Linked DNA regions of Danio rerio. The protein of the gene in region 1 purifies or fractionates together with the protein of each later gene. This does not show direct contact. Links are inferred from orthologs where the notes say so. Each region holds a gene or a part of one and is shown on either strand. Other genes may lie near its edges.

Evidence for each region.
Region 2: the proteins of phlpp1 (region 1) and wdr48b purify together in Homo sapiens (affinity purification with mass spectrometry; 5 studies listed by BioGRID and IntAct, with this or other methods). This does not show direct contact. The link is inferred for Danio rerio from reciprocal best matches to the Homo sapiens genes PHLPP1 and WDR48.
Region 3: the proteins of phlpp1 (region 1) and sugt1 purify together in Homo sapiens (affinity purification with mass spectrometry; 5 studies listed by BioGRID and IntAct, with this or other methods). This does not show direct contact. The link is inferred for Danio rerio from reciprocal best matches to the Homo sapiens genes PHLPP1 and SUGT1.
Region 4: the proteins of phlpp1 (region 1) and usp46 purify together in Homo sapiens (affinity purification with mass spectrometry; 7 studies listed by BioGRID and IntAct, counting the BioPlex papers as one, with this or other methods). This does not show direct contact. The link is inferred for Danio rerio from reciprocal best matches to the Homo sapiens genes PHLPP1 and USP46.

The regions. Positions count from the first base shown.
Region 1 is NC_133177.1:264,098-272,378, forward strand, and holds the start of phlpp1 (PH domain leucine-rich repeat-containing protein phosphatase 1), read left to right. Parts: upstream 1-3,460; 5' UTR 3,461-3,678; intron 3,679-3,799; 5' UTR 3,800-3,930; coding exon 3,931-4,930; intron 4,931-8,281. UniProt on the Homo sapiens protein: Protein phosphatase involved in regulation of Akt and PKC signaling.
Region 2 is NC_133177.1:53,195,058-53,201,985, forward strand, and holds the end of wdr48b (WD repeat-containing protein 48), read left to right. Parts: intron 1-3,464; coding exon 3,465-3,657; intron 3,658-5,820; coding exon 5,821-5,916; 3' UTR 5,917-6,552; downstream 6,553-6,928. UniProt on the Homo sapiens protein: Regulator of deubiquitinating complexes, which acts as a strong activator of USP1, USP12 and USP46. Enhances the USP1-mediated deubiquitination of FANCD2; USP1 being almost inactive by itself.
Region 3 is NC_133176.1:29,654,210-29,662,304, forward strand, and holds part of sugt1 (protein SGT1 homolog), read left to right. Parts: intron 1-1,485; coding exon 1,486-1,539; intron 1,540-1,633; coding exon 1,634-1,662; intron 1,663-2,103; coding exon 2,104-2,123; intron 2,124-2,226; coding exon 2,227-2,323; intron 2,324-8,095. UniProt on the Homo sapiens protein: May play a role in ubiquitination and subsequent proteasomal degradation of target proteins.
Region 4 is NC_133195.1:25,680,474-25,689,179, forward strand, and holds the start of usp46 (ubiquitin carboxyl-terminal hydrolase 46), read left to right. Parts: upstream 1-4,186; 5' UTR 4,187-4,212; coding exon 4,213-4,248; intron 4,249-8,706. UniProt on the Homo sapiens protein: Deubiquitinating enzyme that plays a role in behavior, possibly by regulating GABA action. May act by mediating the deubiquitination of GAD1/GAD67.

The DNA.
Region 1 (8,281 bases):
TCTCAGTCTCTAGTCCAAATGTCCTAAATCCAGAAGCATGTCCAGACCCAGCTCGGAGCAGGCTGGGTGCATTAGGACCGGCAGGGTCACGTTGGTGCCGTGACCCGTATGAGGGTGAGTGTAGCAGAGGCCAGGTAAACCTCACTGCTCTGACCTCAGTAAGACAGCAGTAGTCATGGTCTTTATCCTCCTTGTTAGAGCACTGGACTCACATGCAGAGAGTCGCCGGGTCAGTCCCAGCTCTGAGCAGGATGGGTGGTGGAGGATCTGAGGGTTACTCGAGCTTTTAGAGCATTTCTTGGATCCTTCATCATATTTGGAAACCTGCAAGTACATTTATTATGTGCAAACAGCGCCACACAGTGGACGATCTGCAATTAAACCGCTCTAAATGCTTCATTACTGCTGTATGAGCAGATATTGACCACAGATGAGATTAAAATGTCAAAGTTCATCAGTAATGATGATCAGAAATAAAACATGACGACTATACAGGCTCATAGCCAGACTACTGAAAAAGTGGACATTTTTGCAGTTGTTCAATATTATTTATTTCTATTTATTTATGCATTTTAGTGACATTTTAAGAACTAATCTTTGCCATTTTTGATCATTACCACACTTTTCTGATGCACCAAAAATATTTCCTACAATTTCGTCAAAGTACTCAGCATGCTATTTTACTACAAAGGATTTATAAAAAAATTGCATTTAAATTGTAAGTTAATGCTGTTTTATAAACAATATGAGATTAGCATTATTAAAAAATTAATAAATATGGAAAAATACTTATTTTTAAATACATTTTTTTTTTATTATACATCTTGCTTTAAAATAAATCTGAAGGCAAATAACAAATTGGTCAGCTCATTCAACTTTCCTCAGTCAGAATTTTGCGACTTGAATAATTAAAAATGTAATGAATCTTAAAGACTTCTTCTATAGATAATTTTCACAATGTATGACGGCATATCAGTCAAATGGAATAAGTGAGCTCATACAGGGCTCATATTCTGCACTTTGTCAGTTTGGATGATTGTCTGCTGTCAGCTTTAATCAGAAAATGTGATTATAATGGAAGTCAATCTGCATTGCACACAAACTGAGAATGCATCAAGGCCAGTGTGGTCCAAGACTAATAAACCATAAACATATGAAGAGTTTAGATGCATAAACCTCTAAATGCCATCTGAAATGTTGGGGTATTTTGGCAAAATCCTGTGTGTTCAGTAAATCATTGCATTAAAAATAGGTTCCTTGCATTGCCTTAAAGAGAAATAGCTGCACATAAATATATTGGAGGCTGAGAACAGTGCTGACTTCAGAAGAGAACTTCAGAGGTTTTTGCATCTAAACTCTTCATCTATTCAGTCCCCAAATCCGGGATCTCATGAGCTTGGCCATGGATTTATTTAAAAACATTTATTAGTTTTGATCATGACTGAGGTTGATTAACAGATGTGTGCAGAACAATGTTTATCATCAGACACATTCACAGCACTTTAATTCAGAGGGTGTTTTAAACCCGAACATAACGAAAGGACGTTAAACCTGAACCTCCTGAACCATTGACGCGGGTTACAGATGTCCTCAATCAGCTGAGGGCGACAGAATACTTATTGATTTATTTTATTTTTTTATTGAACAACAAATATACAATTTAAACATGACATCCAAAAAATACAAAAGTAGCTAATAACATAAATTAAAAAATAAATTAAACAAATAAAAAGACAATTCAGCATAGAGATCTTTACAATGATAATACTCATCCAATTGACAGCAAGAATACTAATCAAATAACTTCAGCTCCTTTGCCGCAATAATTGTATTTATACATTTTTAGCTCTTAAAATATTGGAGCGATTCTATATACAAATGAAAATCTGCAATAGCAACCTTTAAACAAGGTTTAGTGTTATTTAACCTGCATTTATGAACATGAAATTTACCGAACAAAATTAAAAAATTCAATAAAAATTCCAGATAAATTCTTTGAAACAAATTAAAAATATAACGTCTTTGGGGGTCAAATTGCAACTAAAACCTGATTTTTTTGTTTTTGGCATACAATGATAGATCTTCCCAAATTTTTTTAAATATTCACAATCATAAAAAAGATGAATCACCGTGTCTGAGTGATGTAAAGAGAATGAACAGTTTCCATCCGTCTGAGTAAATTTAGTTAATGTTTGATTACTAATATAAATGTTATGTAAAATTTTTAAATGTTCTCTGTATTTGTTACCTACGCAAAAACGAAAAGGAAGCAACCAAGCTTTTTTCCACACAATATCATCGAAATATACATTCCAAAAACATTTTCCTCTAGGTTTTAAGGCTCTATTTTTGAAAAATATTAATCTAATAACTTTGTTTGTACATTTTTAACTACAAAAGTGTACCCCATGTAAGTAAAGCGGAGGATATTTCTATAAATATTGATACTAGCCTATATGAAGACATGTGACTTCTCATTAGCATTAGTAAACCGATGGCTTTTGTTACATAGTTATATTCTTTAAATGTAATAGGGAATGACCATCTTTCCATACAATTTTTGTAAGAAAATAAATTAGCTGATTGGTCCAAAATATCAGACAAGAAAAAAATACCTTTATCTGTCCAATTTTGCAGGTAGAGAGATTTGCGATTAACAGTTATATAAGAATTATTCCACAAAATTGCTTTATGGAACGAGAAATTGTGCACATAACACAACTTCCATGCTTTAAGAGCTTGTTGAGGGCGACAGAATACTCTGGTAAAAGTCTAGAAGAGTTGTGCGTCACCCAGCGCTGTCTACCCTCTTCTCCAACTGTGTGTGTGTGTGTGTGTGTGTGTGTGTGTGTGTTTCTCTGTGTGAGCGACAGATGGCAGTAACACTCTTCAGATCTCCAACTCATCTGCGTCAGCCCGCCGACATGAACTCCCTCAACATTTAACTTGACATCTATATTCATTTAAATGACTTCCAATGAGCGAAATCATCCGCGAGACTGATTCCCTGCTCATAACCCGCGCTCGCGGTCACTGAGGGACAAACGCTGAGGGAGAAGCGCACGAGTTGGCGGACATTTATTTGAGATGTGATAAGCGCAGTGAGGAGCTCAGCTTTCCGAGTGTGTTTACCGCTGACTGCTGCTGATTTAGTACCGTCACACACACACACACACACACACACACACACACACACACGGTGAAGAAGAGAGTGACGCACCAACAAAAACAAACGCGCGGGGCATCACGGGAAATGCAGTTCTACACCACAGCGACGTACATTCGATTCGTTTCGGTTTGTGGACACAAAATCTAGAATGGACAATAATGGATTTGATTTGAGAACAAAAACGTGAAGGTAAATCATAATAAAATACACACGCGATGCGATTAGTCTCCGAATGCTCCTGCGTCGGGGGCGTTGACTGGTTCTCGTCTCGCGAGACTTGCGTGAAGCGCCGCGCTTCCTTGCTGTATTTCACTCATCAACACACAGAACGCAGCAGCGCTTCAGGAACGACTGCCTTTAGTCGGAAACATCCGTTTAACACTAATATACTCGATATATCACCGTCACCGAATGATCGCCGAGTTCCACACGGGATATTCAACATCATCGTCATCATCCTTTCTGGAGCAGCTTCGTCCTCAAGTCTCGCGATGATCTTCCCTCTTCCTGTAAGTGGACGCCTCTTGTTTTGTTTTCTGACATTCGTGTGTGGATTACCCGCAGAACAGCGCAGATGTGCAGCACAGAATCTCAATTAACTCGAAAACCCATGTTTGTGTGTCGTTTCAGTGCGCCGTGACCGAACTCTCGCGCCTTTCTCTCTCGCGAGATTTACGCCGTTCTCTCTCAGACTCCATGATCTGCTGTCGAGCGGCGCGGCACGGCGCGATCCTCCCCGCGCGCATGGACTAACGGCGAGGATGGAGAGCGCGAAAGCGAAGAAGAGCGTGTGCGTGCGAGCCGAGGATGAGGAGGAGGATGAAGAGCAGAGCGCGTCGAGCAGCCCGATCTCCGCAGAGCCCCTGAGAGCCTGCTCCAGCCTGAGGAAGAGGAGGGTGAAGAGGCATCCGTCCAGCCTGGTGTCCGGGCCCCTGTCCCTGCGGCCCCGTCCCCGCCCCGGGCCCCTGCTGCAGCCGAGTGACCGTCAGTGGGTGCGTGTGGACCTGCGGCGCGGCTCGGTGCATGTGCACCCCCGTCTGCAGGTGTGGGCTCCGCCGCCGCCACCGCGGCCCGTCCTGTGCACCGTGGACTGCACCGCACTGGAGATCGCCCAGCGGCTCCAGCAGAGCAGCGGTTCTGTCCTGCGGCTCCGGGGCCCGCCGTGCGCCGACCTCCCTGACTCCTGTGACCCGCTCAGACTGCCACACAACGGGGCCGAGGGCCTGCAGGACCGGCTGCTGCTGCTGGAGAGGGACCCGCGGTACCCGCAGCCGGAGTTTGAGCTCTTCACACACTCGGCGTCTCCGCAGGACGAGGACTCCAAGCGCTTCTCGGATGTGGACAGCAGCAGTGTGTGTGAGGATCTGGGGCCCGGGGCCCACTTCGGCCAGCACCGCGACTCCCTGAGCGATGATATGATCCTGGGGACGGAGGCGTGTGCGCTGAGTCCTGTGGAGGGCCTGGATCCGTACGGCAGCTCCTCTGATGAGCTGGAGCTGGACCCGGGGCCCACAGCGGCCCCCAGCGCTTCTCACACTGCAGACTCGGGCCCCGCTGACCCCAGTGCTCCCGAGGATGCAGAGTCGGGCCCGGCGCTGTATGTCCAGCTGCACGGCGAGGCCGCACGCCGCCTGGGCCCCGAGGAGCGGCCCCTGCAGATCCAGAATGACTTCCTCTGTAAGCTGGGCTTTAAGGACCCGTGGCGCGTGCAGGAGGAGGGCATGAACACCGAGCTGGGCTCACTGCTGCGCTTCTACGCAGGTAACACTAAACACACACTACAGCACACGGCTCACACTCACATCTGCACACTTTAGTTCCGGCCCCAATGGACCCTTTGCTCATCAAGTACACATCAAACAGGAGAGTACAGCACATCATTAATACAATACTGTTAGCTGACATAATGACAGAAGCACTCCAGGATAGTGTGATCCAGACCGTCAGGAGGAGGAGAACAATAGTGTGAGACTGATAACGGCAGCCGGAGGAGAGAATAACGGCAGGTTTACTGCCCCCCCCACACACACACACACACACCTCACACACGGGAGTTTGATGATGTAACACACACATAAACGCATGTCAATGTGCACACGCTTATTTAAAAATCTGAATATCTAACACTTTCAAGAGTTGAAGATGCTGATGAGTGTTGAACGTGTCAGAACACTGATGTGGAAAGGGTCCATCACACACCTGATCACACTGATGCGGTGCTGCAGGTGAGTGTGTTGGAACTAAACTCTGCAGGACTGGGTTGGACCGGGCTGCATGACATGGCATTGCAATATTTTGTTTTTCAGTGATGTATATTCCAGTTTCACCTTGGCATGGGCTGGTGTTAGATTCTGACGGTTTGATGACCCAGGATAAAATTATCGTGGTTTCGCTGTACAGATATTTTCTTTTTAAGTGTCTGCATAAAAACACAAACTTTTTACTCTTCTGAACACAGCATATTTTATTTTGAGAAACATTTCTAATATTTTGGAGCAGTGAACACGTCAGGCTAAATAACTCAAATGAATGATTGACCTCTGCTGTCTTCATTAAATCTAAAACTCTGATTTCTTTATGTAAAATGGCATCTTTGAATGTGTTTTCTGCTGTCCTAAAAACATAAATAAGAAATTCTACACATACATTATGAACGGTATCGCAGAAAATGTTGATGCTTTTAAAACCTTGACTTTTCCTAACCGCAGTATACCCGGTTATCATCCCATGCCCAGTTCACCACATGGCCTGAAGAGCTCTATTTGGGGGAAAAGTCTTGAATTTGGATTGATTGTGGGGATTTTGTAAGGGTGTAAATCATGCATAAAAATGAAAACTAAGTCGACGCAATAGCCTAGTGGTTAGCGTGTCGACATATGATGCAGGAGCGTGTCAAGGCGTCCCGAGATCGAATCCCAGCTCGAGGACATTTACCTACCCTAACCCCTCTCTCTCTCTCTACAACTTCGCTTCCTGTCTAAATACTGTCCTGTCTAATAAAGGCAAAAAAGGCCAAAAATAAATCTTTAAAAAAATAATAATAAAATAAATAAATAAATAACTAAATTACAGCAGGCAGAATTACAACAGAGCAAAGCACAACACAGTGAAATAAACGAGCTTTATGGCATCAGGAGAGTCAAACAGTCTTCAGGGACTGACTAAGAAAAAGTCAAATAACACTGTAAAGTCTTCATTCATTCATTCATTCATTCATTTTCTTTTTAGCTTAGTTTTTTATTCATCAGGGGTCGCCACAGTGGAATGAACCGCCAACTTATCTTGCATATGTTTTACACAGTGGATGCACTTCCATCACTGGAAAACACACACACACACAAACACACACACACACACACACACTCATACAGTACGGCCAGTGTAGTTGATCAGTTCCCCTATAGCGCATGTGTTTGGACTGTGGGGGAAACCGGAGCACCCGGAGGAAACCCACACCAACACGGGGAGAACATGCAAACTCCACACAGAAACACCAACTGACCCAGCCCAGACTCGAACCAGTGACCTTCTTGCTATGAGGCGATTGTTCTTCCCTCTGCGCTGCTCTGTGAAGTCATCATTTGATTTAATATTCAGTAAAAGTAATCTCCAGTAACCTGCAGATGTGTGTGTGTGTGTGTGTGTGTGTGTGTGTGTGTGTGTGTGTGTGTGTGTGTGTGAATGCTTTACGCTCTCCTGGAATGCCTGTGAAACACACACAGATGATGGAGCTCTGCTTATACTCTGCTCTGACTCCACAAAGCTCATGTGCTCATCTGTTCTGCTGATCAACTCTAATCCTGACTCCACACTGCAGATCCTGGCATCTGACTATTGTGCACACACACACATTGCCGTATGCAAAACCATAAATCATGCAGCCCTAAAACACACACACACACACACACACACACACACACCTGGATGTAGAGTAGCAGCAGCGGCGGCTGGACTGATGATCAGACATGGTTCTGGGCATGGCAGTGTTGTGCTTTCTCTGAGTTGAGCTCATCTCTACAGCTGTAGTGCTGCTCTGTGCAGATTGAGTCACAGCAGCTCAACACAGACAGAGTTCTGCTAAACTGAATCTGCCGGCTGATGTGGACCGTTTGGAGTGTAGAAGTGGACAGTTAAACACAGTGAAAGTCTTCTTAAAGCTCACCGTTCAGCCTTAAAGGTCCAGTCAAGTGCTTTGACGGGCATCTTTACTCGATGTTTGACTTGATCTCAATCAAAACATGAAGAGAGGGCGGGACATAGCAAAGCCCCTCCCCTTTTTAAAAAAGCAGCCAATAGCATTTTGTTTTATCACAGCTCTACCAGTGAGAGTGGTCATCAAATGAACAGCCAATGAGAAGCGTCTTAAAGGGGGCGGGGCATGTCAGACACTAGAGAGCCATTGATTGGTCATGATGTGATGAGGAACTGAGGTATGAGGAGACGTGAGGAAACCGCTGGTCCATTCAGTGTTACATCTTCTACATGTGAATTTTAGGACTGTTTTGAGCACATTAGCTTATAGATATCCCAAAAAACAAACAATACTGATACTAACATCTAAACAAACTTTATTTTAATCCATGGGAACTGTAAATGATCATCCTTCACTCGTCCTCCACCTGTTCCTGAACTGAGTCTCTCTCTTCTGTTGAACACAAATGATTTAAAGACACCATTCACCATCAAATGAAAATTTCCTCCTCATTTACTCTGGTGTTTTTAACCCTTTATAAGTTTTTTTATCCTGCTGAACACGCGTGAAGATATTCTGGAGAATGCTGGAGGCGGCAGGAACATGCAATACTCAGTTTCTCTCCAGCGTTCTTCAGAATATCTTCGCGCGTGTTCAGCAGAAGAGAGAAACTCACCCAGGTTTGGAACAGACGAGTGAATGAGGACAGAGGTTAGATGTGTGGGTGAACTGCCCCTTTAAAAATGACTTGATTCAACTTAAAAACTGAAGGCAGCAACACATTTTCCAGTGTAAACCCCCGTAGCAGATCTCTCACATAACGCACCACTAGAAGATCACACAAGATCTGACTTTACTAACTATATTAAACACACATCATCTCAGCATATGCGCATTACTGAATAATATTAGTCTTAATA
Region 2 (6,928 bases), about 53 Mb from region 1:
TAGGTTGTGTTTGGAAAAGGTGTTGAAATTAAAAGCACTAAGGATTATTCTACTTTTGTTTTTAAAGCTGCAGTATGTAAGTTTGACACCCAGTGACTGAACTAGGTATTACATTCTTGGATCAAAACAAAAACAAGTGCCAGGTTGCCAGATTGACCAACTGGAACGAGTCTGACAATCGAGCCTAAAGGCTGATTCAAGTCTTGTTCTAAATAAAAGCAACAGCATGCGATAGAAGTAATACTCTCCATATTAAAAGGAGTTTTTGTTCTAACCAACACCTGAAATTTTTATTTTAGAAACGGCTTAAATTACTTAAAGCTGAACTACAGAAGGCTGACAATGATGATGATTCAGCATGTACGTTTAATAATGTTAAAGAGGTTTAGTATGTATTAATTACATTATAAACCTTACCATTTCATTAGCGAGTGCATATTCAGTGTTTCTGAATGACTGTATTTAAATTTCTGTCGTGTTTTGTCTGGTGCAATCAGCCAAATTGCTTATCACTGCAAATCTCGTCACGTAACGTGTTTTGACACAGGGTTACAATGTAACCTGCTCACCTAATGTTTACTCTCGTAATATTATTTTCTAATTAATAACCTCTTGTGGAACTCTGAATCTGCATCTCATTTCGGAGTCTGCTACTGTCCACCGGAGATCGCATTTTGGTCACGGATGCATGCTTTCAGAGTCTTTTTGAATGAAATATGCTGTTTTCCACCAATGCAACCGGTGATGCTGAAATATAATTGGTTAAACTGGCATTGGGCGAGTTAAAAGAACCAAAAAAAAGACAGCCGTTCCGGCACATAACGCACGTTTTCAAAGCAGAATATCTGACTTCAGCATTGTTTTTCAGATAAACAAGAATGTTCACTTAGCATGTTTCTTAAATATCTGCAAACATATTATGGTATTTTTATACTTTAGAGGAGAAAAACTTGCATACAGCACCTTTAGTTAAACACTATTTAGACATACTATGAGTCTATTTTGAAGTGTGTTTAGGTGTTCTTGTGCGTGTTGGAAATCCTTGAATTGGATTCTGCTGTTTTTAAGGTTTGAAAAGTCTTTAGCTTTTGGATAAAGTGCTTGAAACTACTTGAAAATATAGTTATTCTGCTTTCATAATAATTAGTTCTTAAATAGGTAAATAATAATGAGTTAAATAAAATAAATATTTTTTAAGTCTGTGCGTATGCACATTTACAATGTGAGTTAATTACACTTCAGAGAGTAAATGACTAGGGGTGTAACGGTTCGCAAAAACCACTGTTCTGTTCGATACAACACAGTGGTGTCACGGTTCGGTATGTTTTCGATACAGCAAAAAAAGAAAAAAGCCTGAGGATTTCTCTGATTTTAATTTACTGGCCCTATTATTAGTTAACAATAATAACTGTACTGTGTTCTCACGGGTGGTGTCTGATATTGCACAGATGATATTGACATATAACTTATTATTTGCGTGCATTATCTTAATAGCAGTAACGGTCTTTTCATGAGCTGCAATATTAGTTTCATCTCAGTGAATGCATGCTCTTTAGCGATGGTGAACACGGTGTCAGTCGCACGATTGACAGCATCGTGATGATTAATTATGTTAGAACATCTCGTGCTTAATGTGTAGATTCAGTGGCAAACACTGTTACCTGAAAACTCTGTCCCACCGGCTTTACGGTGAATGCTTTAGTCATTTTCATAGCAGACTTTAAACACTGGAAGTCTTTTATCCACTCTTCAAAAAGTGTAAATGCTGGATTGACATTCATTACATTTGTTCCTTTGGTGGTTTCTATAACTAAATCTGTCAGTGTTATTTTCATTCTCTCGTATCCAGACCTTTACGTTTTTGCGGCTGTAGCTTCCTGTCATTGGAACTCAGCCATTGACAGCGATATTAACCAATCCATTCGCTTTCTGTTCTAGCGCAGTGGGCCAATAAGAAGAGCTTGAAGGTGGGGCAAGCATTGTGGGCTTAGTTTACTGCAACTTGACATGTCAACTGTTTTAAACCATTCCCGAGTGCTGCATTTGCTGTTTTTAGATGCTTAATGCGTGAATGCCTCCCAATTCCGCGCACGTGGTGAACATTTTGCTGTGAAAACTGGTCGCACGACATCAATTTTATGCACTCCCAAATATATTTTAACGTCGCATATATAAAATTTTGGGCGCATATGCAACCAAAACAATTAGTTGCAATTTCGAGCCCTGTCTCATATCCACAGCTTTAAATGTACCGAAAACAAAGTGTTCCCAAACGCCAGAACTGCTGTTGGTTATAGGAGGATTACATTAACAGTATACCCATTTTGCGAGCTAGTGCAGTGTTTGCCAAACCGAAAGTCTCGTACAGAACTGTTCAATACGAATACGTGCATCGTTACATCCTTATAAATGACAGTAATTCAATGTTGGGCTTGGAGAAAACATGCCATCACATTTTTTCTTAGAATACTGTACTGCACTATACTACTAAACTGTACTATATATAGTAAAGACTACTTCATTTAGTAAACCCTTTGGGAAGTTTGATAAACTAATTTTGAGAGGAACACATGATATTATTGATAGATAGACAGCTGGTCTCTCACCTGTAATCATCAATGAACCTATCAGATTAATCCAAGCCTACAATAAATAGACCATTTCACCTTACTTCTCTTACCTTCGTTTTGGAAAAATCCCCCCCTTCCACCCCATCTCCCCCTTTTCCTCCTCTACTAGAGGGAGTTCACTGGAACTACCTGCTCTTGGACCGCCTTAAATGCTAAATTACCATGTGGTAGCCCTGGGCTCAATTATCTCAGACCTCAGGCTTCTCTCCTGGGACAGCATGCCAAACCTGCCATTATTATCAAGCAATATCTAAGTGTGAACTCTTAAATGTACAATTGAGGAAGCATTTAGCGATTTAACAAGAAGAGGCAATACACGCAAGAATTACACAATGGATCTCTTCAGAGAATTAAGTGCTAGAGTTAGGAGGGAGTAGTGTTATTTTATTTATTTATTTATTTATTTATTTAAGAGAGAAGAGTGTTTCTGCAGGTGGTTTGTCAAGCCCACTTACCTGTGTGAAGCTCACTTCATAAATGCACAATGTTTTTCTATTTCTTTTCTTTTTTTAAATGTCGAGTGATCTTAAGAAACTATCAGGTGCAATTTTTTTCTACAGATAGTTTTTCAAGCCCACTCACCTGTGGGAGGCACACTCAGAATTTGCATAATGTTTTGAGGCTGTTGTGTGGTGTGGAAAGTGACAATAACACGTAGCATCAGATATATGTAGCATAGTATGTAAATATGTCATTTGCCACACCTGTAAAGTTCTGGAAATCATTTGAAAATGCATCTGGAAAGTGTTTGAAAAGTGCTTAGATTTGACTTGTTTAGTGTTTTTTTCCGAGATCAAGGTTTTGGAGATCCTAATCCCGCTCTGTTGTTTTCAGGGATCGCCTGTCAGCTAGCGACATGCTGCAGGTGCGCAAAGTGATGGAGCACGTTTATGAGAAGATCATCAACCTGGACACGGAGTCGCAGGCCACCAGCTCCTCAGCCAATGACAAGCCGGGTGAGCAGGAGAAAGAGGAGGACGTGTCGGTGATGGCTGAAGAGAAGATTGAGCTCATGTGTTTAGATCAGGTTAGACATGCTATCGGATTCTTTAATGCTTCTAGACACGAATAAAAGAATAAAATAATGTACTGATTATTTGCTGTTCAACACTCTATTTTCCCTCAGATGCTGAAACTAATGTAAATAAGGTGACAGTTGATGGTTTTTTAATTGCTTTGGGATTGTTTTCGAATTTCTTATCAGTGCAGTCCAGTTAAGGCTGATTTATACTTCTGCGTCAAACACCGGCGTATGCTACGGTGCTGACGCATAGCCCTTCGCTGTGGCCGTCGGCGTCGCTGACGTGCACCTCTCAAAAAATGTAACTACACGTCACAGCCTCTGTGATTGGTTGGCTTGGTAGTGCTGAAGAGTCTGGGAGGGACCGAGAGCCGCGTGAATGGTGCGAGCCTGATGGAGCGATTGTTTACAAGTGTGGAGTCCCATGAAGGAGCTCCTGATGGAAAGTTTTGTTTTGTGTTTACCTCATAGTTAAAGTTGTTGCACCTCCGCACTTGTACATACAGGAAGTGTTCAGGAAAAGCAAAACAGCAGCGAAGAAACTCGACACAGAGGAACATTTACACCTCACTGCCAACTAGCGTTTTAGAAGTGTTAATGCAGACCATCAGAGACAGCGCGCAGAAGTATAAATGCACAGCTACGCGCGTTGCATGCGCCGTGGGTTACGCCGGTCACTTGACGCAGAAGTATAAACCAGGCTTTAGTTTTGTTAAATCTGTCACATTGATTAACCCAGGGTTAAAAGTGGCTTTAATCTCAGTTAAACAGTTTTAAAATACTGTAACATAATAACTTGAGTAAATCCTTCTCTGCTTCATATGTTTGGTCGCTTTTAACCTACATTTATGAATTAATGCTCATTAATGCACTAAATTTTGTTAAAATTTCAGGGAGTTTTATGTAATCTACACTGTGTTGCTTGAATTAGTGTCATTTTTTTAAGTTGGTGAAGTTTTGTAATTGTGTTATTTTAATATTTTATTTTAATTAATTCATTTAATTATGTATGTGTAAATATTCTGATTTTATCTCTGCAACTAACTAAGTTTCTTTAAATGTTATTTTATTTAAAGTATTGAAAGATTATGTTTTTAGATTTAATTAACTCTGGTTCAGACAGGCCTGTTCACACCACCGCAAACAACTATGAAAATAATAATAAAAAATATGTTAAACCTTTAGAAATCACTCTAAATTTAAAAAAAGCTCTCAATCACCTCTTTAACAAGCTTTAACAATGAAGTCACTTAATATTGTTGTAATTTCTTTCATTATTCTACCTTTCAAGTAATTCTTCCAGCAAATGATTTATAAAAACATTGACAATGTTAAAGTGGCAGATGATAAATATTTACAATGAAAATTATGATGATTCTAATAAACACAAAATTAGCATATATTGATAAATATGGATGCTGCTAATATAGTTTTAGTTTGTTGTGTGAACAGTCTTAAATGGAACAAAACAGTCCTTCAGCCACATTGTTAAAGGGAAAGTTCACCCAAAAATGAAAATCGACATCAACTTATTGTTTACCTGTTCCAAACATGTTTTAGTTGAACACAAAAGAAGATATTTTGAAAAATGTTGGAAACCTGTAACCATTGACTTCCATAGTATTTGTTTTTCCTATTATGGAAGTCAAAGGGTTTCAGCATTCTGTAAAACATCTTCTGTAGTGTTAAAAAAAAAAAAACTCATAAAGGTTTGAAAACACTTGATGGTGAATGCATAGTGGCTGCGTCTGAAATTACATTCTTCAATGATATATAGTACGATTAAAACAGTATATGAGCTGAGTAGTATTTCCAAATTTGAAAAACATTATGCAAGAAATTCCCGAATGACTTCAAGCGAGATTCTGAAGTGCACATTGGATAAACGCTATGCTATCCCATGATGCACCACGAGAGAATTCCAGCATGGGTCAGTCACGTAATCATGACAAAATGGCGTATGGCAAAATGTAGTACGTCCGAGTTTCCTTTATATTGCTCACATTCATATTGTGTAGAACATACCTTTCTAATGGTGAAGTTGTACATTCAAATTCAGTAATAGGGGATTTTGGATGCAGCCAGTGAGTACATTTTTGTTTTTGGGTGAACTGTCCCTTTAAATTAATTTGTGATTTGTTTTTAACAAATGCTTGCTGTATTTTACAGGTCTTGGATCCAAACATGGACCTCAGGACTGTGAAGCATTTCATCTGGAAGAGTGGAGGAGACCTGACCATTCACTATCGACAGAAATCCACATGAAGACCTCTAATCGCTGTACAGAGCCCGTCACGTTCAACCCACATCACTCTGACTTCCAGAAGAAGCATCCCAGAATGCCCTGCTCTTCTCAGGTTTGACCGTCACCTTCAAGGAATTTTCTTTTTGTCCTTCTCTCTTTTGCAGTGGCTAAAATAACAGAGCCAGACAGTCGGTGGAAGGTTTAAGACTAGAGATTGACGCAGGTGTCATGACATGCTGTGAACTGAGACTTCATCATTCGTCTGCCTTCATTTCAGATTTTTCTTTTGTATATTTATTACTGTTGTGTTTGCGAATGTGTCTTGTCCAGCTTAACAATAATAATGATGATGCACACGTATACTTCCATTCTCAAGTCTGAAACATTCCTGATGGCGTTTCTGATGGAGATCCAGAACTGAAAACATGCTTTTTTATCGTCCCTATTTTTTTGTCCTCCACAAGTAAGCTACTTTTATTGTCTAGATTTAACAGGATGTTCACCCAAAATTAAAATGAATCTACATTTTTTTTACTCTGGTACATCAAAGCTTCAAAAGTACAGCAAATTCTGTTAAACACGCTGTATATTATGAATATTTTAGTGGTAATCAATATGCAACAAATAAATACAATATAACGTGCTGTTTAATAAAACACACCGACTGTTGTTCGCATCATTTCCAAGCAAAAACTCTAGGCTACAAGATCCAGTTCTGAAAAGTCTTCTGTCTTCAGTGTTTTTGATACATAAATGTTGCTAACGTATTATTGTAGCCCAGTTCGCGCTGTTTACAGTGGTATTCACCACTTATACACTACCTGACTAAAGTCTTGTCGTCTATCCAAGTTTTAGGAAGAACAAATAATAACTTGACTTCTAGTTGATCATTTGGAATCAGAAGTGGCTTTTATGAAAGGCAAAGGCCTCTAGATTACGCTTATTTTTATCAAAATAAAATATGATCATGCCTGGATTTTCAATTATTTAATTAGGACAGTAAGGTCTGACTTTGCTTATAAGCTCATCTGG
Region 3 (8,095 bases), on another chromosome or scaffold:
ACACCACATTAATTTGATGGAAATGTGATATACTGGCTTATTATATTGTAGCTATGATAAAGTGTCAATTTGTGTGTATATAATTGTATATTTGTGTGAGCCACAATGACAGAAGTCACAATGAGACAGATAAAAACTATATATTTTCACATAATCTGGTCCATGTTGTTAATTAGGAGGTCAACTAAAAGCACAAGTGGTTTCACTTTCTCTAGAGAGCTCTATTGTTTATATTTTAAACAACTTTTTGTAAGTTTTAACATTTCAGAGACCATAAGGCTCAGTATATGTTTTTTTATTTTTTTTATTTTGTATAATCTCAGATGTTACAGTAAGCTATTTCACATTATCATCTGCAGCTATATTCAAATCATGGTTACAAAATGGTCTGAAATTAACATTCATACATAAGTATTTATGTATATAAAGCATTTTAAGAAGTGCTTCTCATATGATATTTGAACTTCAAGCTAGAATGACCTCGACTGCCACTTTCTGTCATATACCATGCCAACCAAAAGGGTGCCAGTGGATTACTGTAAAAAAACAAGGCTTCATTAGCATTCACACTAATCAAGAAGTCTATCTGGGAAGAGATATTCTGAACAGTCCTCACTTAAGCATGCAGTAAGTCACCAAGTGGGCGATGTGTGTATTCACAGTTAAATGTTAAACCTAAAGTGTGGGAAGAATGATCAGAAAGAACAATTGCATTAAAATGCAATGCTTAACTAGAGAAAGCTTATTTTCAATTAAAAAAATGATAATAATCTGGGAGAAAGATTGATGGGCATGGGAAAAAAGAATAACCATGCAAAGAAGGATTGAAGAAATGCTAGTCATCAGTGAGAAAGTTACTTTCTTAGAAAGTCTACCAGTTTTTGGGTTTAGGCAGATATTAAAGACACTCCCAATAATTAAATAGATAAAATGTACATTTGGTAATACAGAAAAAAAAATCTATCTTATCTACAGCTAAGTTAGGTGTATAGACCAGCTGTCAAAATTTGATTGATTGCTTCTGGTCTAAGCCCCGCCCCTTTAAGCCAACTTTATACTTCCAGTAATTAGATTCTTATCAATTATATATATTATAATTCCAGTTGTTCAAATTGTAATCAGATTAATGAAACTATAATGCAGGTCATTTTAAGCTATTCAATTAGTTATTAGATCTGTTATTATATTTTAATTATTTATTTAAAATTATTATAATTCTATTATTTTGAATAAACTATTTACTATGTTATATTATAATTAATAAACGCATATAAACATTTGTTTCTGTTTATACTAAAAAGATACCATGCATGAGAATACTGCAGTTTAACTGTATCTGAAGCAAATATTATTGGCACTTAAATGTATAACATTCATTCATTGGTGCCTTTAATTGATGCTGTTGAATTTAAAAGATGTCATTGCAAAATTAGTTTATATTAATTATATATTAATTACATTTTGATATGTATTTGTCATACAAAGGTTCTGTTGAAGAATTTCAAACATGGATGCAGCACTGTGAAACTGAAATGGCGAGTATGTATAACGTAAATTTTTTTTTTTAATTCAATATTAGTTCGGGGATTGTGTGTATGTGTATGTCTAATACAATAGTTTTCTGATTTTTTAGCACACATTCCAAACAAAACTTCAGATTTGGTAAGTGTCTGTTTACTGTCTTTATCTATATGTAACTGGAAAAGAAATATACAGTATTATGCTAGTGCTTTAATTTTATTGCCTGGTTTTTATCATCTTAATTTAAAGAAACACAACGAACCCTTAATTGAGAAAACTGAGTAATTTGATACATGAGATCAGTTGTTTTTGTTAAACGATGTGCTGTTGATGAATTTTAATTGTTAGAATATTTTTTTAAATATAGAAAAGTGGTATTTATAAAATGTTGTAAACTTGATCAGTTTTTTTTTTGCCATGACCTAGCCAAAGAAGCTGAAATGGCAATAAACTCTCTCTCTCTCTCTCTCTCTCTCTCTCTCTGTCTCTCTCTCTCTCTCAAACAATGATTTGTGCTTTTTTTTTATTATTTTCCCTCTGTTTCTGCTGAAATGCACTTACAACTGACTGTTTAAACAACAGCAAACTACAACCCATGTCAAGTAAGTATGGTGGTGTAATAATTTTATTTTAAATTCTTTGTGTTTAGTAGTACAAATATAGAATAAAATTGCATCACATTTAATGAATTTCTGCTTCATTCAGACATGATTGGTACCAGACAGAGTCTCAAGTTGCAGTTACCATCATGGTAAAAAATGCCAAGAAGGAGGGTGTGATTGTCAGCTTTGGCGAAAGGGAGGTAATGTTTCTCTCCTTTTTCATGTCATCAATGATTATGCGCTGTACATAGTTAAGGTTGAGAGGTGGACATCATGGTATATAAATAAAGCTTTTTAACTAATATAATAAGCAGCCATGTGGCTGGTAGGGTATACATATACGGTGACATATGCATAAATTGACATAAACATACAAGTGCACATTCCAGGTAAATGAAATGTCTGTAAAAGGCAAGTGTATAAGAAAACTAACCTGTCTCTTCTTGGTTTGGTAGCTTCGAAAAATTTAATATAAAGCAAAAATATGAGTTTATATAAAATGGGGTGATTACAAGTCTAATCAGTAGGGCTGGAACGCTACACCAAAGTCACAGTTTGGTATGTTCCCTGCTTTTGGGGTCACATTTTGATAAGAGTTTAGTAAAACAGTAGGGCTGCACCATTGACCCTTTGCTAATCTACACCCAAAAACCGCCACCCACCAATCGTGGCTTAGCAACTGTAGCTACACGCAGGGGCTCTGTCAAGCTTTCGAGTGAGTGCATATGGATTGTGCAAATCTGATACCTGGTATCCCTAAAGTTTGGTCAGGATGGTGGAATTTTTTCCCTTTTCAAAACCAAAAACCCAAGAGGAGAAATGCCAGCGTGGATCAAGCTCTGTGAGGGGCACTAAGCGGAGTTAAGTTGGTTTTGTTTTGATATTTCTGACACAATAAGTGATAGAACCACGGCAATAACTCACACACCTCTTACCCTAAACAGACCTAAACTGTGTTTCCTACAAAAATACAAAGCAGGTTATGTTTCCCAGCTGTCTTTTTCTTTTTTTTTTTCGCTCTATATTATGAGCACTGCTCCGTTTAAGGCTTCGCCATAGTAACTTAGTCATACTAATAGCGATTAGGTCATGAGTTATTGATCCGGAAAATGCAAATCTGTTGCTAACTTTACTTAACTTCATATTTCCATCTATTTCAAGCTACGAATATTTGAAATTACAAATCAACAGAACAAAACCGAGATATAATCACAAACTGAGCACTTGCGATCAATATACTTTACCAGCAGCTGTTTTTCAATATTTTATAATAAGTACACAAACATACTGACAGCTATAGATAACTCACTGTACATTGTTATGGGTCAATGATGCTAATATTTAGCACAAATCCTTGAGTTTCCCCTTTCTGGCTGTTCTTTCTATGTATATACTATGTAAAAGCACTATCATGCGTGTTTCCTCGTTGGTTAGTAATGGTATATTTCATTGCACAAAAATTAATCTATCAGGCTTTTTGGCTAAAAATAGAGAAATCACGGTTTAATTTGTTATTATGGGATTATTTTTAAATTTCACCTCTACTGCCGAGTATGAACTAAGCTGTTGAATGGTTAGAGTATGAGGCGGCTAGGTTAAGCTAGCTTCAGTTTTGATTAAATTATTCTCTAATCGGTTGCCTTTTATGTGGTGAATATACCCCTGAAATGCATACTGCAGTCCTTTTTTGTCTGGCTTTCTCGGACATCTCACCTGTTCGCCAAAAATTACATTATATCCCTGGCAATGTCTGACAGCGGCGCATACACATTGTAACAGCCGTGCCAGGCATGATAGCTTGTCAGGCGTAGCAACAGTAACTAAGGAGGTCTGGGCTTAGCGAAGAGTCAAATTGTAGATAAATTTGAATTGCGATTGATCTGATCAATATTGAGATTTAAAATATGATTTGCAACAATTTCTTTAAAAGAGCTACAGGTTTGATGTGGTGGTTTTAACATCACCAAAGAAAGACCAAGCATAACCACAAAGTATTATACACTATGCTAATGTTTATTTAAAACCTCTTAATATACATCTCTATTTCCTTATTATATTTTTCTGAAAAATGTCACCAATCACTTTTTTTTTTCCTGGAACGTTAGTGGACTTGCCTCCCAGACAAAAAGTATCAAAGTTTTAAAAGAGCCCATATTATACATGAAATAGAGTCATATCTTGGTTGTAAGGGTCTCCAACAACAGTCTAATATGCATGCAAGGTCAAAAAACACTTTCATGGTCTTATAATCTGTATTTATTTTTACCTAATTGTCCCAGCGACTCCTGTATGAATCGTCCAGTGATTCATTTGTTCCCAAACCCCTCCTTAGCGCGAAGCTAATCTGCGCTGATTGGACCGATGACAGCCTGTTGCGATTGGTTGACTGCCTTCAGTCAGAGTGAAAAGCCAAACAGCTAATCAGCAATATAAAAGTAATCACAGTTCATACACGCTCGATAGTGTAGGCGTGGATTTTAGCTGCCAGTGGGTCAATGTAAATACAGTCGATGGACTTGAAAATTCAAACGACTATTTTATTGAGCAAAAACTCCAAAAACTGTCGAGGAGATCACATAGCTTGTCTCACTCTGCCCTTTTTACAGACACACACACATACACACACATTGCCCTCGTCCTTGCGTGCGCACGCACACACAAAAACACACACACACACACACACACACACACACACCTCAGGACGACAGCGAACGCGCACATACACACTACCCTCGTCCACGGAGCTCCGTAAACAAAGCAGCACGCGTCGCGTTTTTAACGTGACTTTGCACGCGATAAGAGAATATAGCCAGTTAACCTGATACAGTACACGCGGTTACAAGTAACAAATCACAACTAAATACATTTGCAAGCTAGAGTCAACGAGGCAACAACTTTAATCGCACGTACTTACACTTGAGAAATGGAGGAAGAAACCCATCCTGACGTCCATCAGTAAGTTACTCTTTACTGATCCTTCCTTTAACAAACGCCGATAAAGTATTCTTTGTAGCATGTAGTTTGCAGAAGTTTCCAGTAGTTTCCAACTGCTTGGTTATAATACTGAGGTTTCATCTTTGGCGAAACGCCTAATGACTCGGTATCAAGGCGACTCGTTTGAAGCGCTATGAGTCGACTCTTTTATAGATGAATCAACCGTTTTAAACACTGTACTCTTACAGATTTAAGCCTTAGCTGGATACTTTACTTCACTTAGAGCTGTGTTACACACTACATGGAGGGGAATTTTCAAAAACCCATAATATGGGCTCTTTAATCAATTAATTACAAGCAGACATGCCGAAACGATCATAACATCTGATCATAACATAATTAAATCATCACAGTACAATCATTCTAAAATTCTCTCCACATCATCTTCAGCCATCATCATTACTAAAAGACTAACATCACGCAGCTTCACACTACACTGGAGAACTAGATACACTCTCTCTATCTCTATTTATCATTTTTATTGTACCACTGTAAACATTTAAACATTAATGCACACCATAAAATTAGTCTCTACACTGATGATGTATTATTATATTTACGAAATCCTCAAACATCTTTACAAAATACAAATAAACTTAATGATACGTTTTCAGATATTTCTGAATACTCAATCAACTGGAGTAAATCTGCTATACTTCCATTAAATTCCACCAGTGTGGATGTGACATCCCAAACATCACTAATCCATCAATGTTTCCCCCAGGCTGTCAGAGTTGTTTTGACTTAACTATACTTAAAAAAGATCATTTTCAACATTGAATGAATCCATTATGGGCGGAATATCTGTAACTAAAATGTGTATGTTCCTCAAAATAAACTATTTATTTTCAAAGATTACAGCACAACCCACTCGTACCATGTTTAAATTTTTAAAACCGTAAAAATCCCAAATCCCAAAATCCCAGAGTTAAAAGGTTATAAAAAAAAAAAACACATTGAGGTCTACTTTCTGGCAATTCTGATGTAAAGCATACAGTGGGTACGTAAAATATTCAGACCCCCTTAATTTTTTCTCTCTGTTCTATTGCAGCCATTTGCTAAAATCATTTTAAGTTCTTTTTTCCCCTCAATGTACACACAACATAAAATTGACATAAAAACAGTGTTTTTGCAGATAAAAAAAAAAAAGAAAAACTGAAACATCATATGGTCCTAAGCAAAAGTTCCTCTCTTTCAAAATTATTATTAATATTGTCATTTTAATGTTGTTGTCTTTATTATTATTTTTTTTTTACAATTATTATTATTATTATTATTATTGTTATTATTAATATTATTGTTATTATTACTATTACAACTACTACTACGTGCACAAACAAACATACAGTTGAAGTCAGAATTATTAGCCCCCCTGAATTATTAATGCCCCTGTTTATTTTTTCCCCCCAATTTCTGTTTAACGGAGGGAAGATTGTTTCAGCACATTTCTAAACGTAACAGTTTAAACTTATTTCTGATAACTGATATATTTTATTTTTGCCATCAGGTCAGTAAATAATATTTTACTAGATATTTTTAAAGACACTTCTATACAGCTTAAATTGATTAATTAGTTAATTAGGTTAACTATGTTGGTTAGGGCAGTGGTTCTCAAACTGTGGTACGCGTACCACTAGTGGTACGCGGGCTTCCTCCTAGTGGTACGTGGAGGAGCTGGATAATGAAAGAAACAATTAACACTTTTAATCCTTTGATGCGTAATATAACATTGATGTGATCAGCATTGGCTATTTTGTGAAGCGTACGATCACAACGCTGTGCTTAGAATGTTTATTTTAGAGCATTGTGTCAAAAGCTGCTGTAAATCAATTTAAGAATTGACTCTGAAGCTTGATTTGACTGACATGAAAAGTAGCCAATCACAGTCGACCTTGTCTAGTTGCGTAAAAAGTAAGGGCGGGACAAATGTTTTCTGTGTTGCAGAGACAGAAAAACAACTTTAAAACAAATGTTTTGTTGGAATAATGCTTGTCGGATGTTTTCACTATAGCGATGTCTAGCAGAGTAATTAAACCGCGGACATATTTTCTGCCATTTTGATGATCTACATACACGTTTCGGTCTCCGACAGCCAGTCGACTCGCCTCTGACCTGTCACTCCTCTAAATACATTCTGAATGGCAGCGCGGGAATGGAGGTATTCCGCAATAACTCATTTCTGCTAATGTGGCGAGTGCTTTATTTTAACACGAAAGCGCATTCATGTACGCAAATCGCTAAAACAGATATGCGAGCTCTTAATAAATAGGCTTTTTTTCAAATGAACTGCAAGTGCTCTCATGACCGCCTGTGTGCTCAGATTAAATACAATCGCGATCTTTCCACTATTAAAGTAGACATTATTTATCTTTGCTCCTTGACTCAATTTAGTCAAAAGTATTCAAAGTTATCAAGTATTTAGAAATAGATTGATGCATGATCGATGACAATGCTAATGGTCTTCTTATTCGGCTGTGTTGTGAAGTGAAACTTACTTTTAGCTAAGGTGGAATTTTTTTTATTCTTTTACAACAAAAGAATTATGCTGGAAATGTTTCTGGATGAGGTATTTGTGTGATCTGATCTGTCTTAAAGCATTACAGGTCAAAGCAATCCGTTGTTACTTATTGTTTATTTATCCAAATTAACAATAAGGCTCTTAAAGCACTACTTTGATAAATGTATTGTTGTCATATTTCAAATACCTCAAGTAAAATAAAGTAATTTATTTTATTTTTTACTGACAGTGTACTTGTATTTTTTTACGTTTCTATTTTAGATTAAGATCAAGTGTAAAATAAAATCTACATGTGATGTACAGCTATTTAAGAAACAAATTTGCCATATTGTAAAGAAAAACAGTGTAACAAATGTAAATAAAAGGCTAAATTTAAATCTTTTTACCATATACTTTAATTTAACCTTTCAAAGCTTTAAAATATTGTTTAAAAAATGGGCAAAAAGTGTCTCTATGGCCT
Region 4 (8,706 bases), on another chromosome or scaffold:
GCTGTAATTCAGGCATCCTGTTATTTTTAATATCTGCATTCAAACTTACATCATTTTCTATTTTAGAAGTGGTTGTCAACCGTTGGGTCATGATGCAAATAAGAGTCATAGGTGTGTCTTGATGGTTGCTGGCAGGAGGAGAAAATAGCTGTATGTAGCCTAGAAATAAAAATGCAAGTAAATGTGTACATGGTTACAGTTAGGGCTGCTCAATTATGGGGAAAAAAAATCAATCACAATTATTTTATTATTATTTATCATAATTGTAATCACAATTATTCAAAACGATCAGTTGAAGTCAAAATCATTAGCCCTACTGTGAATACATTTTATATATATATATATATATATATATATATATATATATATATATATACATCCCAAATTATGTTTAACAAAGCAAGGAATTTTTCCACAGTATTTCCTTTAGTTTTTTTTTTGTTCTGGAGAAAAGCAATATATTAGAATAATAGCAGATTTAAATATTTTTTAACCTATTCAAGGTCAATAGCCTATTATTAGCCCCCCTAAGCTATACATTTTCTGATTGCTGCAGAAGAAACTACTGTTATACAATGACTTGCCTAATTGAGGCTTTGAATCGCACTTTAATCTGAATGCTTGTATTTTGAACAATTTATAGTAAAATATGTACCGTCATCATTACACAAATGGTGGTTAATATGAAATCACTAAACACCGCGCTGAAACCTATTTGACCATTAAATCGCTCGCATTAAGATGATTTTAGATGCATATGCTTTGCTCACGTGAGGCCGAGCACGCACACACAATTGCATGCGATCTCTGTCTTGCTGTTAAAAACATTGATTCGTATGTATGTCAATGAATGATGCACATGCCATGCTGCAAACCTTACATTACAGCACATGCGTTGTCATTTTCACATGAAACTGAGCATTGCAAAGCAACAAGTGTACAACCGGAAAGAGCGGATTATAAATGCAATAATTTTTTCTTAATTGTTTTTCATAATCGTTAGAAGTAAAAATCGAATTTGATTAATTGCAGTTACAGTGCAAGTTTTGAAACAGCTAAGGCCCTGATAATATATTTTTGTTAAATAAGAATTTGTGGCCAGCTGCATCATTTTCAGCAGCAATCACATTAAGCAACTCTGAGGGTAAACTTATTCTTTGCTCGCATAAAGGCTATAGAATTAAAACCTTTAAGATGTAAATCTAAAGCATATTTACAAATTCATCCATCAAATTGTTAGTACTTTTATATTAAAATAATTTTTACAGTAAATAAACAATTTACACATCTTGCAATCTTCTTAGTCATTTATCCCCCAAAAATGCAGATACGTATGGGTGAATGAAAACACAAAAGGTCATGTCATTAAATTGTTTATTTTTTGTAGACAAATAGTGTGACCTTAATGTTGACTATTCAAAAGTTAAAAAATAAAAAATAGACAAGCTCACTTATAATAGATAAATATTGTTTATTTAGACAAACCACCAACACAACTGTATAGAGTTGACTTATTCTACATTGTCAAGCACTCATTGAGTGATTAATATTCATTAAGCTTCCACCTAGAGACAGATTCTGCCTGAACTTTTCCAAATAGAAAAATTCATTCTCCATCACAGGTACAGGTAAGCCACCAGATCACCGAACACAAGGCCCAGAAACGCAGCCATTGTGACCTGTTGAGGGAAAAAAAAAAAAAAAAAAAAAAAACTTAAAATTCAAGTTACCAAATTAAGCACTGCATTTGGCAAACTATCTAATATTCACATGTGCCTTGTGACAGGATCCAGACTCAGAGAATGACCTCTGGCCTGGGTTTTAACAAGAGCAGCTCAATATACCCCCCTGTTATGGCCACTAGAGACACAGACAGCCTCCAGTGGGCAAAGCGTAGAAGGGAACACTGGACTTGTTAACAGTCTGAACATTTTTGAACTTACAGATGTAACCAAATGCATTGAACAGATTAAGGTGCTGCTCTATGCATCATCTGTTGTCTCCTTTTGTTCTAAAATGTTAAACTAGCTCACGCAATAAATAAATGAATCATGGGATGACAGTTACTCACCGAATGATTGCAGATTTCTCTTCCTAGCCTTTACCTCCTGCAAACAAAAGAAAACAGACTAAATATTGATCTTTTTAAACAGAAGTAATGAATATAATTGTTGAAAAGTTGTTTCTCCCGACAGGATCCGAAGCATGGAATATCAAAGCCAGCACTTCAGGTTTTTGAGAGAATTCTTCTGCCCCCCTGTGTTATTCACTCAAGCCATAGAAGGACTTGAATGTGCAATAAAAGGGGCTGACAAAACAGAGCTGAGGGGCTGAGAGGCACCACACTCACCAAGTAACTGTGGAAGGATTCATCAACAACTGTGGGCTCTGGAACAAGACCATCTTTAAGCCTAAGCAAGGAAAAAGCAATCATGTTAATTTCTGGGTTTTATTTGCAAGCTTTTTCCATTGAACAAGAACTGACGCCAGGATTTGTCTGGTTAAAAAGAAAACAATGAATGAAAGTCATTTACAAACAAAATCACAACGTGTTCTCTACAGATACAATTTGTAAATTTAATTTACAAAAATTTGAGCCAATTCTTTTAAAAATAGGAAAACTAAAGACCATAACTAAATATTTAGCGTCTAATAAATTGGCTTTAAAAGATAAAATCAATATTTAATCTTGACTAAAACACAAACTCGCTTTGAAGAACAAACAGGGAAGAGCATGCAACATTTAATGTAATTAATTTTGACTTTATAGATGTGTGGATTTCATGCTTTGTTTTAGATTTGTGCAAGGGTGAACAAACACCTTAGAACCATCACAGAGCTAAAACTCTTCCTTTTAGATATTAAATATATATATTTATATATAAAAAAACACTTCCTTACCTTTATATTTCAGACATTGTAGTAATTGGTGATTTCCTCTTCAGTCAGGGGGCTCAGATGGCCAGTCTGTAAAAATAAGTTTAACATTAGGCTAAACATTAGCAAGTAGACCGCTAACTCACCACGTGCTGTGTAGAGAACACGTGGCCTTTTAATAATTAAAAAGTTACTAGTGTTTAATACTAACCTTAACGTGACTTAATAAATGCATTGCTTCATTATTTAAAAGATATTTATTATAAAAATATTTACCAAGCCTTAAACACTTCTAGAAAGCCCACTATAACTGTTCAGGTTAAATAATTAAAACATTTATAGTCCAAGTTGCAAATACAGGAGTAAAATAAAACATAGAGTCTATTTAACTAATTAAAAAATACAATACATATGTGCATTAATCTGAGTATTTAATCTCACCAGAGGTAATTTTGCCTCCGCTCATGTTTTCTGTGCCTGCTCTCAGGGATTGTGCAAACGGAAAAGAAAGAACACGTGTGACCGGTGCGAGGAATTCTGGGACTTTTAAGGGGACCGCCTCTAAATTCATTTCGCCTCTTCAGATGATTTGGGGAGTCAATCTGATCTGATTCACTCTGATGATTCAGACTGATCAGCAAACAAAACGTTCTGACCGGTTTTGAGAAAAGAATCGACTCAGTAGAATCACACACGCTATTTTGCATGGCTGCACAGCACACGAGGCAGTGTTGTTTAAACTAGATAAAAATTAAGATCAATATTTTGTGAAAACAGACCTATTGTCATACATTTTGTCAGAAAAGTAAAAATAAATTTACTTTATATCTGCATTATATGTGCATTCTTAGGGGCTTGTAAGTGGAAATGGTTGTTACTTGATTTAACCCCTTTATCTATCAAATCCAAATTCTACTGGCCACAGCGAATTTATCAACTGATGTTCTCACCATTCATTGGTCAGTTGACCTGTCCATCAACTGACCAGCGTTTCGTGTCGTACTCCCCAAACGCACCAATCGGGACTCAATGGGCGGGGTTTGACCGCTAATCCAGGATGTGAATGTTTCGTTTAGGACGTGCAACTGGCAAAGATGTTTACAATAAGTTTATCCAGCATTTTTATTCTCATTTGCAGTGGCCATGAAGAAAACATCTAGATGAAAGCCGCCGACGTTTATCTCACGCTTTGTTTGCACTTTGCATGAGCGGCGGGAATTGAGTGGTCACTGATTGCTGTCCTCCGTTGGGATTGCAGCTTGGCCTGTCAGTGTTCCGCTGTTACAATCATGTTTATTTCATAAAGATGGCAACGAGAGGCACCTTATAAACTAAATGACTGTCAGAAACATCGCCTCCATTTGTAATATGGTAAGTAGAAGTGTTTGGATAGCATGCTGGCTAGCTCTTACGTAATGATGATGGTTGAATGGCTTTCCTCAAAATCAGGTGCATGACCTCATTTATGAGCTGATGCATGCTTGGATCACTTCTCAAGTAAATGCAGCTATCATAACTAGACGTGTTTGCTTGCTCATGTAATAAACTGTGACTGAAAGCTTAACTGCCTAAAATGAGTTTTACAGTCAGTGATTCCGCTTTGTTTTGTGATAGTATATGTAGTGTGAATCTTGTCATTTTAAACAATCAAGCAATCTCAGTGAAAAATATCTGTACTTTTTTGTTGCAGTAGCTCTTTCTATATACTCCGTATTTTCTAACATGTAAATAGCGTATTCATTGTCTAGTCGTTTTTGATTCTGACGTCATTTTGAATGTATACGAATATTAAACAGTGCTGCAGGTTGGTCTACATACAGAAACATTTTAACATTTGTTTTGGAGTTGCCCATTATAGCAAGCCGTTTTGACATTTATTCAACAGCCCGTACTAGTATTTATTTTTATGTTAATAGTACTTACTTTGTAGATACTACAGTAGGATCTTTTCCATTAAATAGTAGTGCTTATTCATTATACTAGTGCTTATTTGTTGGACACTAGTGGTGCCTATTATTTAGATACTAGTACTTTTTCTTTAGCTACTATTGTCTTTTGTAAATTTACTAGTACTTATTCATTAGATACTAGTTTTTATTCATTAGGTCCTAGTACTTAAATAGATAGGATGTATTAGATACTAGTACTTATTCATTAGATACTAATACCTATTAAATAGATACTAGTTCTTTCTTATTAGACACTTATTAATTAGATACTAGTACTTATTTTAATAGTGACTAGTAACTATTCTGTTGTTACTAGTAACTTTTTTTTCCCATTGATTTCTATAGGATATGTCATTGAGATATCGACTATTCAGTTTTGACTAGTGTGTATTCCAGCTGGGACTAGTACATATATTTTTTTTATGTACTAGAAGGTAATCATTAGGTACTAGTACTCATTAATTAAATACTAGTACCCAATTAATAAACAATAGTATCTATTTATTATCTACTAGTACTTAAGTAATATATACTTATACCTAGTATATATGGTTACTAGTCACTATTAAAATAAGTATTAGTATCTAATAAATAAGAATTAGTATCTATTTAATAGGTACCTAGTATCTAATGAATGAGAGTATAGATATATACATTAGATGTTGCCTACCCTGCTGTTGTCTATTAGAAGGAATGCATCAGCAGAGCCGCCATTTTAGTACAGGAAATGAAATGAATGCGGGACCAAGATGCAGTGAAGGACTGTGGCCATCCAAAGCCAGAGATATATACACGTATATCTCTGATCGGGAGTTTTTCCGGTTGTCAGTATGCAAATATTTTTTTTTTTAATTACAAAAATTTAATTTTACATCTTTTTTCCACTGCATTTTCGGCATTGCCGACAAAGAGTATATGTTTGTGTGCATGGAAATGTATTATTCTCTCTCCTTGTTTAATTTGGTCTATTCCGCGTCCTGAAACACACCCCCTCATGCTTTCACTTCTCATTCTAACGGAGGGAGTAATTCGTTTATGGGATTCCGTTATGAACGACTCGTTCCCTTGGCTGACAATAATACAAGTTTCTGGCACTGCAGCAACTTGTTGTCATATTTCATAACATTGTTTGCTTATTTTATTCAACAAAACTAGCATAAGCCTAGTATTTAGTGTGAGTTGGTGCTCCTTTGCCCTATGGTGAATGTAGTAAGAGACTATAATAAGATAAGAGAGTATTATCATCATCAATATTTGTTAACCACAAAAGTTCATAACATAAAAATGTAAAAAACTAAATCTTACGTATTAAATGTTTTGCCTTAGTGCTTTGTTTTCTTTGTTTGCTCGTTACTACACCCGTACACAGCGCTAAAGTCCAGCATCTTCACATTGGCACACTGTCTTGACCACTTCTGTCCTGGGAGCACTGTACAAATGTGGCGGCGCTATTGACGCATACTCAGGGTATGCGATATCTAGTGTATATATATCTATGATAAATGAGTACTAATATCTAATTAAAAAAAAAAGTGTCTAATAATTAAGCACTAGTATATTTTTAAAAGCAATAAAACACTTAGTATCTAAAGAATAGGCACTAATACCTATAAATAAGCACTAGTATTTAATGGAAAAGATACTAGTATCTAAAAAAATAAGTACTAGTAGTAGTAACATAAAAATAAATACTAGAACAGGCTATTGATTAAATGTCAAAATGGCTTGCCATATGTAGTTACTTTTTGATGGATTTCTGTTTTTTATTAGAATCAACGTTATGTCCAGCTTTCAACTTTATTTTAAAATGTTTTTTTTAAACTTTTTTTTACATTCAATAGATCACTATACAAAGAATATTTATTGATCAATTTATCACTTCTGTTGGTAAAAGTCAGTATACAAAAGCCATTATTTCTTATTTTAAAATCAGACTTTAAGCTGTTTATCTGACAAACAAAAAAATCTGTTAAGTATTAATGAATGCAAACATTTACATGTTTTTATATATTTTTTCCTTTCGTTGTCGTCATCCCCTGGCTTTTGTATATTGTTCTTAATTTTGAATTGTCAAAAAAGTGCTACTGGTCAAATGAGCAGTTACTGGGTCCCTCAAACACGTAATATACTGTAAAAGAAACCACAATTCATCTGAATATGTCTGGTTCGGTACGGTGGCACAATGGGTAGCACAATCGCCTCACAACCCTAGCTGGCTCAGTTGGCACTTCTATGAGTTTGCATGTTCTCCCCGTGTTTGCGTGGGATTCCTCCAGTTTGCTCTTGTTTCCCCCACAGTCCAAAGTCATGCGGGACATGTGCATTGAATGAATAAGCTAAATTGGCCGTAGTGTATGTGTGAAAGAGTGTGTATGAATGTTTCCCAGTACTGGGTTGCAGCTAGAAGGGCATCCGCTGCATTAAACTCATGCTGGATAAGTTAGCGGTTCATTTTGCTGTGGCGACCCCTGATTAATTAAGAGACTGAGCAGAAAAGAAAATTAATGAATGAATGAATTTAGTAATTAATTTACTACACATTATATTAATTAATTGTATTAATATTAATTATATAAATTAATTAATTATAGTATAATACACCATGTTTGAATAGCATTGATTTTTTTCAAAACATTTTCATTGACATGTTTTCATTTTGGTTTGAGTTGGTCTTTTAGTGATTTTATATCCTTTTGTAATTTTAAATTGTGCATTTTATTATTTCACTTTCTGTTTTATTAGTTTTCGTATGTCAAATTCAACTTTGTGTAGAGTTCAGACAGTTTCCTTGGTGTCTTTGCAACAGCATAATTGTGTATTTAAGTACAAAGTAATATTCATTTAAATTAATTATCTTCTAAAAGGACAGAGTTGCATGAAAAAAATTGTTGTTTTTATAGTAGCTGGGGAGAGATGAGCAGAGAAGGTAGAGCTTGTCAAGGATTCTGCAAAATAGAACTTTGTATTTTAAAGTTGCACGGTATTAAAATTCCATGATTAATCAATTAAATTTTGCTCAGAAAAAATGAGTTTAGTGTTTCATGACCATTTAAGTAATGTAATTTTCCTGATTTTTGTTTCAAAAGTTTGCAATGTTGGATTCATCTTTGGTTGGCTTTTAAAGGACATTTTTGTTTTTCTTTTTTTATGGAAAAATTGTTTCCACAATCAGTGTTGCTGAAAAGAGAATTTGTGCTAATGCATTCTATGGGAGCAGAGCCCATTGTTTTATGTAATACTGGTGTTTCTGCTGGATATCTGACATTGCATGAATATTTCAGTGCCTGAAACTGGCCTGAAGCCTGTAACCACAGTCAGCTCATCCTTAGATATCTGCAGGTGCTGTGTCAGCCTGGGCTAGATGTGGTTAGAAACATGAAGAGTGAATTATTGCCAGCATGAGGGGGCTTAGACTTAACGTCTGACTGCTGTTTAGTGCTAGTTATGTAACCCATGTCCGGACAGGGTTCATTTGTTCATTGGTGTGTGTGTTTGGGGCCACATCTTGTAGTGGCTCATTGGCCATGGATACAAGGCAAGCTAATGAAATGTTCTCCTTTATGTCTTCCAGGTTCAGTCCTGTTAAATGACCTCATTATTGTGCGATTGGTGTGCACAACTACATGTCTGACCTTCAGTTTGAAAACATGTGTCTTTTATTACATGTACTTTCGATTGAAAACAATCTAGCTTTAGCTGCTTTAGTCAGGCAATATAGTGGCTTATGTGTTTGATTTGTGTATGTGACCTTTTATATATGGAATGTTGTTGAAACAATTGTTTAAAAGAAATGCATCCCACATTTGTGACTTTCTTAAGAATTTACATATCACAATTCATGTTTTCTTCTTAAAATTGTGAGTTTATATGTAATATAACT